Drosophila melanogaster: one gene and its partner. The protein of the gene in region 1 interacts with the protein of each later gene in a pairwise test. Each region holds a gene or a part of one and is shown on either strand. Other genes may lie near its edges.

What was found. The genes of interacting proteins can lie anywhere in the genome.
Region 2: the proteins of CG42709 (region 1) and scu interact in a two-hybrid assay, tested with the Drosophila melanogaster proteins (one large-scale study listed by BioGRID).

Annotation. Positions count from the first base shown.
Region 1 is NT_037436.4:12,788,234-12,796,191, reverse strand, and holds CG42709 (uncharacterized protein), read right to left. Parts: upstream 6,001-7,958; 5' UTR 5,810-6,000; intron 4,975-5,809; exon of another isoform or gene 4,758-4,974; 5' UTR 4,612-4,757; coding exon 4,559-4,611; intron 2,377-4,558; coding exon 2,192-2,376; intron 2,131-2,191; coding exon 1,877-2,130; intron 1,812-1,876; coding exon 1,536-1,811; intron 1,396-1,535; coding exon 1,104-1,395; intron 1,030-1,103; coding exon 868-1,029; intron 735-867; coding exon 580-734; 3' UTR 108-579; downstream 1-107. Other genes in the region: Atg1 (Autophagy-related 1), read left to right, coding at 7,564-7,651, 7,818-7,943.
Region 2 is NC_004354.4:18,089,670-18,093,383, reverse strand, and holds scu (scully), read right to left. Parts: upstream 2,126-3,714; 5' UTR 2,003-2,125; coding exon 1,994-2,002; intron 1,830-1,993; exon of another isoform or gene 1,730-1,829; intron 1,433-1,729; coding exon 674-1,432; 3' UTR 531-673; downstream 1-530. Other genes in the region: Swt1 RNA endoribonuclease, read left to right, coding at 2,962-3,067, 3,147-3,401, 3,460-3,714. UniProt on the Drosophila melanogaster protein: Mitochondrial dehydrogenase involved in pathways of fatty acid, and steroid metabolism.

The sequences.
Region 1 (7,958 bases):
AGGAATGTGATATGAGGAGAGTATATAGGTAAATAATCAAGTCTATCAGATGTAATCTTTTTAATCTTTTGGTTTCATAATTCAAAACAATGGTTTTCTTTTTTTTTACTATGTACAATAATTACTTTTATTGTATTTTGGCAAAAGTCTAAAGCTAACAACTAGTGTATCTATGGGTTTACATTAATTTAAGTGTTGCGATGAAAATTGATTTTGGGATCTAAAACTAGAACAGTGCCAGGAGTTTTGGTGCGGGATCCCATTTACCGAGTCCCCCTAAAGAACAGAACGCTAAGCGACTAGGCGGCTTAACCTACTCCGACTAACAACTAGAATCTAACAACGGATTCGGTTCAGTTGTTGTGCGGGAAACATTGTAGGAGAGACTATATAGTTAGGCTAGATACCGCGTCAAAGTAGTTAACTAACTAGCCATATACATACGTGATATACATATACCTATTTATAATCTATCAAAAATGCCGTCAAAATGGAATTTGTTCTCGAAACTGGAGGAGAAGGATAGGATTCTCTTTTCATCTTCGATCGTTTGGTTTCGGTTTGTTTTGGAAAGTTTTCTTAGGCTAGCTTATTCAGTGGTATCTCCTCAGTGGGATGAACCTGATCCTTTGGCTCTGGTTTGCTAGTGCGGCAGCATTTGGTTTTGATGCCGCCAATATCCTGGCGGCAAATGAGTCCGATGACGATGCCAATCACGGCCAGAACCATGATGCCTAGTGGATTAAATTGAACAAATTAGTCTGGTTTTGTACCGCAAGTAAAAGGTGTATAACTCAAACTATAACTGTTTAGCAAGATGCTTAAAATAGTTGATGTTATAAACCTTAAACCGCAGTTTGTACTCACAGATGAGCAGCGTGTTGATGGCCTCCTGGGAGATCTGCACCTGATTGGTCTGGCTCTCGGCAGGCGGCTCCACGCTGACTCCGCTTGTGCTGGTCTCGGAGCTCAGGATTCCGGCTTTGACCAGCTCCGTGCTGTTGTCCATTTTGCCCCGATTGCGATTGGCTAAATGCGAACAATGGGAGGTGAGCAACAGACACGTTAGCAAGATGATCTACGAGTCATGGGAAATAGCTCACCACTTCTGGGCGGTGCGGGTGTGGCGGTCACTGGCTTTGCAGTGCTGGTGATGCTGGCGACGATGGGCGGATTTGTAATCCCCTTGAGCGGCGGCTCCGTGGGATAGATGAGACTGCCGTTGAAGGGGGTGCCCAGTACGAATTCGTAGCAGCTGATGTCGTAGTTGAGGAAGCTAATCGTGTCGATGGAGGTCAGCAGGCTGCACAGCTCCTCGATGTTCTGTTGTTCCAGTTCCGGCAGCTTCAGTTTAATTATTTTTGTTAGCGGCGAGAAAGCTTTCGTATTGATTTGCTGTCGGAATGGAAAAGCGTGAGCGGGACAACTATATAGACAACTGCGCGATGGCAAACACAGCTGTTTTGGCTTCAGTTGCGCCAACTATCGATAGAGCGATAACTTGTGCTATCGCACTTTTGGCTCGCCATTCTTACCTGTTTAAAATCGTTCTTGTTCAAGCGCAACACCTCCAGGCCACTCATGTTCTGGAACGTCTGTTCCGGCAGTTCCGTCCAGCTGCAGTTGACGCAGCTGAACTCCACCAAGTCGGGCTGGTTCAAGAAGGATCCGTCCAGGCGCTGGGTTATGGTGTTGTTGCTCAAATCGAGTAGCGTTAGTTCCTTGGCCGCCGCAAAGGTGTCGGGATCGATTTTGGTTAGACGGTTGTTGGCCAGCCGCAGGCGCTTCAAACGCTCCGATCCCTGAAAGACCTACAATAGATAATAAGCACATTAGTTACAATTTATCTAATTAGTAGAATTAGCTGGGCACTTACATCCTTGTCTATGCTGCTGATCAGATTGTGATTCAAATTGATTTCCACCGCCCTGGACAGATTGGCAAAATCCTCCGGCCTCAGTTCGGCAATCACATTATGGCTCAGATCGATGATGGCCGCCGTTTTGGGCATGTCCAGGGGTACATGGGTCAAATGGGCATTGGCACACTGAACGAACTTGAAGTCCTCCAGGCAGAGGCAGTTGCGCGGGCAACTGGGCTCCAGGACATGGTTGCTGCGTCGTGGTATATCTGCAAAACGATATTCATTAGCCTTTTCAGTTCGGAATATATAGATTTATGTTATGCTCACTAAATATTGGTCGAAATGTGGTGGTGGTCGATGTGGAGGATGATTGTGGCATCAGTCTATTTTCTGCTGTCTCCGGCGATTCCTCGCCCGTCGCTGTTTCACTGTAGTCATCATCGCCGTAATTAAAGTCCTCGAGGGGATTTGCCTCCTCACTGCCCGCTGGAGCGGCATTTGTGTGGCTGATGCTGTAAGAGTAATCATTAAATTATTTTCCGGTCTCGACTGAATAAACCAACAATATACCAATTTGGTTTTTTCCACGACTTATAAACGAATTCACATTGCTTATGAAGAAAAACGCAGGGCAATTATATGTCAAACGAATGCGCATTTCTGATAGAGCAATTACTGTACGAATTCGTTAAGTGGTTTTACCAAATACCCAAAATTGTCAATATTTGGCTTTAGATTGTCGGTGGGTTCTAAGCGGTACGTGCTTACATCACTCACGTCTTGAAGGCGAACACACCTAGCTAATTTGTCCTGAAAACGCTCTTGACCCATATCGTTATGACCACGCCATAGCCACACAGAAACATTCGTTTTCCCCACTATCATTATACGGCTATTGTTTATGTTTGCTCCGCGAAAGAACATGAATGAATACACTCACATGTGCGAACAAGCCTACATACAAAGTATTTCTCGCTACAGTCGTGGTCACAGCAATAGCCCTTAAATGAATTAAAAGTATTCAATGATACAAGGCTTCTTAATGCAATTCATTAGATTATGCATATATTGTAAAATATATTTTGCCTTTCGTTTTTTAAGAATAAAGTAAAATCAAATAGATATACTTTCAAGCTAAAGAAAATAAAGAAAGCACACATTTCTTTTATTGTAACTCAAGCACTTTTATTGTCTGTAAAGTTGTTTATTTGTTTCTGTTAACTGACCTTACATTTTCGAAACGTACTGTAGCTACTCAGTAAAAAGCACAGATGAAACCAGTTTACTTCATGGCAAAAGAGACAACTCGACCGGTTTTAGTTTACGATTTCGTTTACTCTCACTTTTTTCAGATTTATTTTATTTTTTTGCTGTCATTTGTGACCCCTCTTCATTTTTTTTTTTGTCTGATTCTAAATCGTTCGTTATCCGTGCATTCGGCGACTTCAGTTCTAGTGGGTTGTATTTACTTTTAGAAAAAAAGGTGTAAATTGGCTAGTAGAGTAGTTCAAGTGAGTCTTTTGACTGCCATGTAGAGTTCTCTTCAATTGCGTGACTTTTGAGTGAAGTTTCAATGAATGCTGCTGAGGAGCCTTGTCAATCCTTAAAAGTGCCAAAATGAACAGAATGAACGACTTTATAGAGTCGAGTACTTGAACCGCAAGTGCTGATATGTAGCTATTAATTGGTATATAGTCCTACCGGATAATAAAGATATATTTATCGAACGTTACGAATTGCCTTCAAGCTTCAGCTGCTCGCCGAAGTTAATGGGTATTACGAAAGATCTCTAAACTGTTACTAAGCATGACGACCTAGTCGACGTAATTCCCTTGACTACTTGAATGAAGTGACTAAAATTGGAAGCGTCGCACTTAAAAGCACTCTACTTTGACATTTGATTTCGAGTGGCTGAAAAGGTTTAAAAAGGCCCAAAAATCAATAGAGAAATGGGCTTATGTGCACTGGGAAAATTATACTAGTACTAACATGCAAAGAACGATTAAAGAATTTTATCTTAGGTTTTAAAACTCAGAAGTATTTAAAAAGATTTTTTTTAGGGCAAGAATATAGAATATTTATACATAATCGATAATGTCTAAACCTCGTTTCAGTTGTAAATTAAAAGAAAAATCTGAAAATCGAGACAGTTATAAATTTCTATGTCATTTGCAATATTGCTTGAGATATTGGTTGAGAAATTCAAAACGCTGAGCAAACAATTTGATAAGCAATAACGGTATAAATTATCGGACAACCGGGGAATTGTTATTATTTTTATCAGAACCAGATTATGCGATATGATTAAGTAGAGTGTAAATTCGTGCACCTTATATATATATTAAAGGCGGCAATTAAGAGCGGTTGCCGTGGACTATCAATAAAATGTTGCTGTTTTTTTTTTATAACCCCATGCGTGAGTATTCCATTTGGCATTGATATCTCAGTTGTGGGCGGGTCAAAGTCCCGTTACCCTGGTTCACCTGTCGTTATTTCGTTTTTAGTGAATTAATCACTGCGAATGTTGCTAAACGGAAACTTTGCCCCGTGTCTTCCCTGTTTTTCGTTTTTAGGAAAGGGTCTACTGATTTCTATAAATAAATGGATTACTTATTTTCCAGCCCCATAAGAATAACAAATGTGATTTCTCCACATATCGAGATCTGTAAATATTTATTACAACTTGATTTTTACCTCACGCTTAGCAAAAATATCAGCAGTAATCCAAACTTGTAGTACACGTGCATTATTATGAATTATTTGTTTACTGATATTTGTTTAGCTTTGTTTTCACTGCGTCTTCAAGGCGTCGTGTTGTTTGTATTTGTGTTTATCTCAGGGTTTTCATAGCATTTTCGTCGTTTTTGCCAAACTTGATGTGAAAATTTTCAAGCTGAAAATAGATTTTATTAGGTGTTAGGGGCCTATTTTTGCACCGCTATTCTCGTTTCACTTTGCACTTTTAATATTCATCTGTTTTGCTTTGAAATTACAGCTTCAAAGTTGATTAATGTCCATTTACATTTGCCGGCTTACTTTTGGCAAAAGTAAAATAATTATTTTTCACTCCGCTCGCACAAACTTTTCCACTCGCTGCCGATTCTCGAATGAGCAAAAATTCGCCAACAATTCCCATTCCGTTCGACTGACTGAACAGGTGTGTGTGTGAGAGCTTCGAAGAGCGGCAAATATTATCTCTTTTTCTTTACTCTCACTCTCTCTTCCAAACTCTCTCATGTTAAGTTTAATGTTTAGCCGTGGTTATCTTATCAGTTTTTAATATTTAATTGCTTTGTCTCATACCCTCGCGATTTCTGCTTAGCTTTTAACCAACTTCTGACTTACTAATCGATTATTATCAATAGTAACAATTATGGAATTCATGTTTTCAATGAAAACAGAAAGAGCAAACTCACACTTTAAGCACCGTAAATAAAGGCTAATCGGTTTGGGTAATCCTATCTTAATTAATAAGCATTACATCACATTAGAAATTAAAATTTCAATTGCCATATTTTCAACATAATAACTTAAGCAGCAGATTTGGAAGTACAAAGAAATCTTTAGGACGGCTTGTAATATTAATAAAATTAATTACACACTTGTCTGATTAGAATTAACGCCGATCGTAATGAACTTTGCTTTGGACTTGACTTATAAGTCGGTCGGCCCGCCTTTTGATATGAAAAAAGGGAAGCTTTCACAGTTTATTTACATAATTTGCTGGAAAAATGTGAAACACTTGGCTGGCTGAATCATAGCGATTAAATTGGACGTGATTTGAGTGAAAAGTTTGTTTGAATATTTGTTTCACCGAGTGCTAAGTTAAACTCTTGTTTTAATCCCGTTTCTAGGTCTTTGTGTTGTGATTGCGATGAACAATGTATAGCAGCAGCGTTCTTTTTATCGCCTAGAATATGTTGACCTTTAGTCCACTGCGCTTACTTCGAATGACACGCGTCGTCGTTTTTCTCGATAATATATGTACTAAATTGGGTATTACACTAGAGAGTTTTCTCATCGAATTCTACTGAATGGAGGAGTATCGCGTTTAAATTATACTTAATGATTTGCTAACTTGGCTTTTTGTTGTCGCGCGATAACGTGCGACTCATGCCACCGTCGATTTGAGAATGAGCTGCGAACGGAACCGCAGAAGTTGCGAGCTTAAAAATTGAGTAAGTTGAAATAGAGCGGCTGAAGAGAGTCTTCTCTTAGCTTTCGAATCGCTCTCTTCACACTTGATTCTTCAAAATAATATTTAAAAAAGAAAGAAAAAACAGAGAAGCCCATTAATTACGCAAGTGCATTTTTCAATAAATCGCTGACTCATGGGCACTTGTTGCCGGGAAATGGCATTGCATATAATTTAGAAATTGTTAAAAAGCCCCAGAGGAAGAAAAACCCTCTTCGTTGCGAGTATTCCACCATTTCCTTCAAACTTTTACTTTTATGTTTATGTTTATGTACTTTACATGTCAATGACTTTTTGTTTAATGTTCTTCGCTCTTCGCTTCTCTTCGGCGATTTTAGCGATTTCACAAAAAGCGAGTGCAGTGAAATCTTTTGTCATTTCAAATTGGCTGTTTAATTGCCTAATGTTGCTTTGTTTGCTCATTAAACTGTAAGTGGTCCATATATTTTCTCATGAAAAACAAAAAATCCATAAAAGCGGATAAAAATGTTCGCCGCGCACATTACTTTTGTTGGTTTTTGGTGGTTGTGTTCGTGTGGAATTCTATAGTCATGTCTTCGATTGGCGGCCTCAAGGTCAAAAATCGCAAATCCTTTTAGGCAACTTGCTCAGGCCAAAAATATAACGGCATTTTGGAGAGACAGGGGTTCGTTCTCTTCATTTACATTTTAGCGAGGGCTGCTTACAAAGTTCTCCCATATCGGGATATTCTATTTTCATTTTCAAGTTTTTCAAAAACTTCTTCATGATAACTGATATTCCTTTTTGCTGTTTTCGAATGCTTAGAGGTTTATATTTTATTTGAACATTTTGTTGCCTTTTGTTTAGCATTCACTATCATATACTTTATCAATGGCTTATTATTATAATATTATATTATATTATATATTAAAAGAGAAAATTATTAATTATTCTCAAATGAGTATGGAAAAATCACTGCAGTGAACGGGCATTTTTAAAAAACCTAACTGGTGCTTTACTTCAAAGATTAAAGATTACATGGAAGTGTATTTAAAATTCCAAGTGTAAATTCCCCTAGCATATTCAATATTCTATAGCTTATTTTTACCCCAACTCTTTCTCCGCATCTGCTGACATAAACCGGAACAGAACCTTTGTTGGGCAAACGACAAAAGAAAAGCAGCTGGCTGTCTGGGCTGATCCATAAACATATTTCCCTAATTCCAGTTCTTGATTCAGAAAATTGCCATAAATCATATTCGCTTTGACCTTGCCGTTTTCTATGATTGACTGGGATTTGCACAAAAGTCGAGCGAGCAGCTGGAAGCTAAAAGATGGAAAGACCGACTGAATCAAATCTCGGGACTCTTTCATTTTCGCACTGATTGGACTTAATTCGTTTGCATGGGTTGCATTCTGCTTTTGAGGTCTTTTGGGGTCCCAGAAGATTTATATGCGCGCTGAACTCTTGACTCGTGGGGGTCTCTCTTAATTTAATTTCCCAATCAGCTCCACTCACGCTCTTCATCCTTTCTCTTTACAGTATTGCAATGGCGGCGACTTGGCGGATTATCTGAGTGTCAAGGGGACGCTCAGCGAGGATACCGTTAGACTCTTCCTCGTGCAACTAGGTGAGATTCGAAAATCCTATATAAGGGGTAGCCCTAACTAATAATTGTCAAAGATCAATATAAATTGTAACATTAATATTACTTTAGAACAACGAAATGTATTATAATTAAATATCAGAAGATCGGAAGTTAAAGTATACCATTATTTCCATTTCCCCAATTCTAGCTGGTGCTATGAAAGCACTTTATACCAAAGGAATTGTGCATCGTGATCTCAAGCCACAAAACATTTTGCTATCGCACAATTATGGCAAAACATTGCCAGCTCCATCGAAAATAACCCTGAAAATTGGTAAGTTTTGTAATC
Region 2 (3,714 bases), on another chromosome or scaffold:
CTTCACTTAAAATGCATCCTCATTGACCACCAGTGCATCATCTCCTGCCGGGGATTCCTTCCACTTAAATTGCTCTGCGTCTTGTGTTCCCAAGCGATCCGTTTGCTGGACAGGGGGTACATTCTCCTGATCCCCGCCAGCTGCCCTACGAAGTTCCCGGCTCAGCAGCGCTGATATGGCATTATCTTCTGAAGAGCGATTTTCAAATGTTCGTTGTTTACATTTTGAAACGGAACTGCCAACTTGCGGGAACAACAGGGAAATCTTAAGGGCTAGCGACTTAGAAATACCCTTTTATTCAATAAATATTTAAGCTCAGACCAACTTTGTAAATATGATAGTAAACTATTTTCTTATTATAAATACATGGTTGCTTAAGAATTAATTGCACAAATAGTAAGTCAGTAATAAAATTGACTTACAAAAAATTAATCCACCTGTTGCAACGACCTGTGCAGCCAATACACCCCAGCTATCCCTTATATATAACCAGTGTTGAAGAACAGCAGGCAGACGCGCCTCCAAAATTTGAAATGTGACATTGTGTGTTTAATAGCAATTATTACATAATTTCGGGACAGATAATAAAACTTTTCAGCTTAACCACTAGACAATAGATAAATGCAAACTGATCGAGCCACTTCCACAGGTCCAAGACAGTGCTCAGCCGGATCTAGGGCATCATGCGCAGAGCACCGTCGATACGGATGACCTCGCCGTTGAGCAGCGGATTCTCGTAGATGGCCTGCACCAGGTGGGCGTACTCACTGGGCTCGCCCAGGCGCTGCGGGAACGGTATGGACTTGGCCAGGAAGGTGCGCACCTTCTCCGGCAGGGCGGCCAGCATAGGCGTGTTGAACAAACCCGGTGCAATGGTGCAGATACGTATGCCCTGGGTGCTCAAGTCACGGGCAATGGGCAGGGTCATGCCCACCACGGCTGCCTTGGAGGCGGAGTAGGCCGCCTGGCCGATCTGGCCATCAAAGGCAGCCACCGAGGCGGTGTTCACGATCACGCCGCGCTGTCCATCCTGATTGGGCTCATTGGCGCCCATCAGTCCGGCGGACAGACGGATCACATTGAACGTGCCCACGGTATTGATGTTGATCACCCGCTGGAAGTCTTCCAGGCGGTGCGCCACGTTCTTGTTGAAGTTGAACGTCTTTACCGCGGTGGCTGTGCCCGCACAGTTCACAGTCAGATCCAGACGACCGAACTTATCCTTGGCCGTCTGCAGAGCGGCGCTCACATCCTTCTCGGAGGTCACGTCCACGGGCACGAAGACCACCTTGTCGCCCAGCTCCTTGGCCACCTCGTTGCCCTTGGAGGAGGGCAGATCGGCCAGGATCACGCTGGCGCCCTGCTTGGCCAGGCGCTCGGCGGTGGCGCGGCCCAGTCCAGAGGCTCCTCCGGTCACCAGGGAAACGGCGTTCTGGGGGTGGGAAAGGCATGGGGTTAGAAACTATATATATATGTATATATCCAAGGAAATAGATTCTAAAAATGCACTCCATTCCATTTCATCCCAACTACAACATCAATGTTTAGAGATCTTAACAGAATAAGCATATAGAATGCAAAATATACGATCTGTAGGACTGAGATCCTTATCTTTAACAACATTGAGAAGTTGTCCGTTAAAGTTAGTATAGAAATAGCACGATCCTCAATTTGCAGATAAACTTATAATCCGATGCCGGTTTATCTTATTATTTCGAAAGCAGCTGACCGATGCGTTCGGTGTCCAGTTTCCCGATAAGCCGCATTGTATTATTGTATAACTCGGTGGGGAAGTAATGCTAATTGTTGGCTGGGTACAAGGTACATCGCTGTGGGCAGAGATACAGTTATTTATGGGACTCCATGTTTATAATAGACACGAGTTCACATCCCAATTGGACTTTGCACCCCGGCCGCGCAGTCATCGGCCGCTTTTGCTGCACTAATTCCCGTCTAATCGCAGTGTGATCCTTATTTACAGCACCCCACGTACCTTGATCATTGTTCTGGCTGGTGGCGTTGTGTTGTGGGTGCGAAAGGCGGTGGTTACTTAGTGCTCGGCAAAGCTTTTTAAGCAAAAACTTGTTAAGCGATTCGAAACCGTGCAGTGTGACCGTATGTGCGCCGCTTGAAAATACTGCCTACCGGTTAGGGGGCTCCTATCATTGGCTTAGCTTTTAAATTTTGAGTTTTTTTTTAAATTTAAATTTAAATCAATTTGTTTATTACCAAGCAATTAATTTGCAAGATTTTGAAAGAACTTTTAAATATAAATTACCTCGAGCAGGCAAACAGTGAAGATTTTATTTGGCAAGCTAACTAACTTGGCAACTTATTATTTCAAGAACATGTTTTTGCAACAATTAAGGTGGCAGCATTCAAGTCTTTATAAATGAAATCTTTAGCTATTCAAATTCAATGGCTTAAAACAACTTATGCTATAGATTATTACAGTAAATTTTAGTTATAAGCTATTCATTGTATGAATTCGTATTTAGCTTCCACGCCAAAATGTATGCCGTAGAATTACATATACTCATTTAATTTATTTTATGGTTTATAACTTAAATTAATTTGAACATAAACATTTATGCTTTAAATAAAAACAAAACATTGTTTCTGTTTAATTTAAGATTATTTTCATTTTTAATATTTCTTATTACTTCACTTAATAAATAATAATTAAAAAAAAATATTGCTTATATAAATAAGGAGTATTTTAAATAAATCATAACAAAGTTATATCCGAATTTAATTTATACCCCCAATTTATATACTTTTGTCCTCCGATGTATGGAAGAACATCGATGATTCCTCGAAAAACATCGATGCTTGTGATTGTTTGAAAAGATCGATGATATCGATGATGTCATCGATGTTTCTCCACCTCTAAGTCAGATTGCCTATTGAAATACAAAATAAATGAGTACTTCCTAGAAATCAAATGTTAAAGAACACAATATGTCGCTCGGTGGAGAAAGTAAGCACACGCCAAAGTCTTCCAATCTGAGGCCGTTGGACGACGACCAGCTGGTTAGGATCATCAGCACGCCACGTCCGTCAAATGGTAAAACCCATGCAAACTGCGCGTTTGCCAGAATGCCAGAACCAAGATTCAACTCCACTTTTCCACGCAATATGGCAAGGAGTGAGCCAGCATCCCGCCCAGGACCGCCTCAAGCGCCTGCAGGGCCAACTAAAGCGGGTGCAGGACAACGAGAAGGAGCAGGGGACCACCAAGCGGATCACCCACAGTTCCTCCGCATCTCGTCGATCAAGTGCGTCCACATCTACGCCCCAGCGACTCCTGAAGTTTCCGCCTAAGGTGGCGATGAATGCCTGGGAAAAGCCAAAAGCCCTGGTCGATGCCAATCGCCTGAAGGCGGGACGTACCCAAACTGGTGAGTGCCCGGTGCATATAGTTACTCATATCCCATGTTCTCCTTATCGTCTCCCTAGCCTACCAGCGTCTCATGCTGTTAAGAGCTTCGCTGCAGCAGAAGCAGCTATATGAGGAGCGCAACAACAATATTGTGGCCAAGATCAACGAAGAGGTGATAGAAAAACAACCAGAAGCCTGCAACATCACAAATCCAAGTGCATTTGATGGCTCGACGGCCAGCGATATGGAGGTCGAGCCCATGGAATGGCAGGAGTCTATTGAAGAGGAGGCGGCACAGAATGATCAGGATGAGGCTAAGAAAGGGGACGACA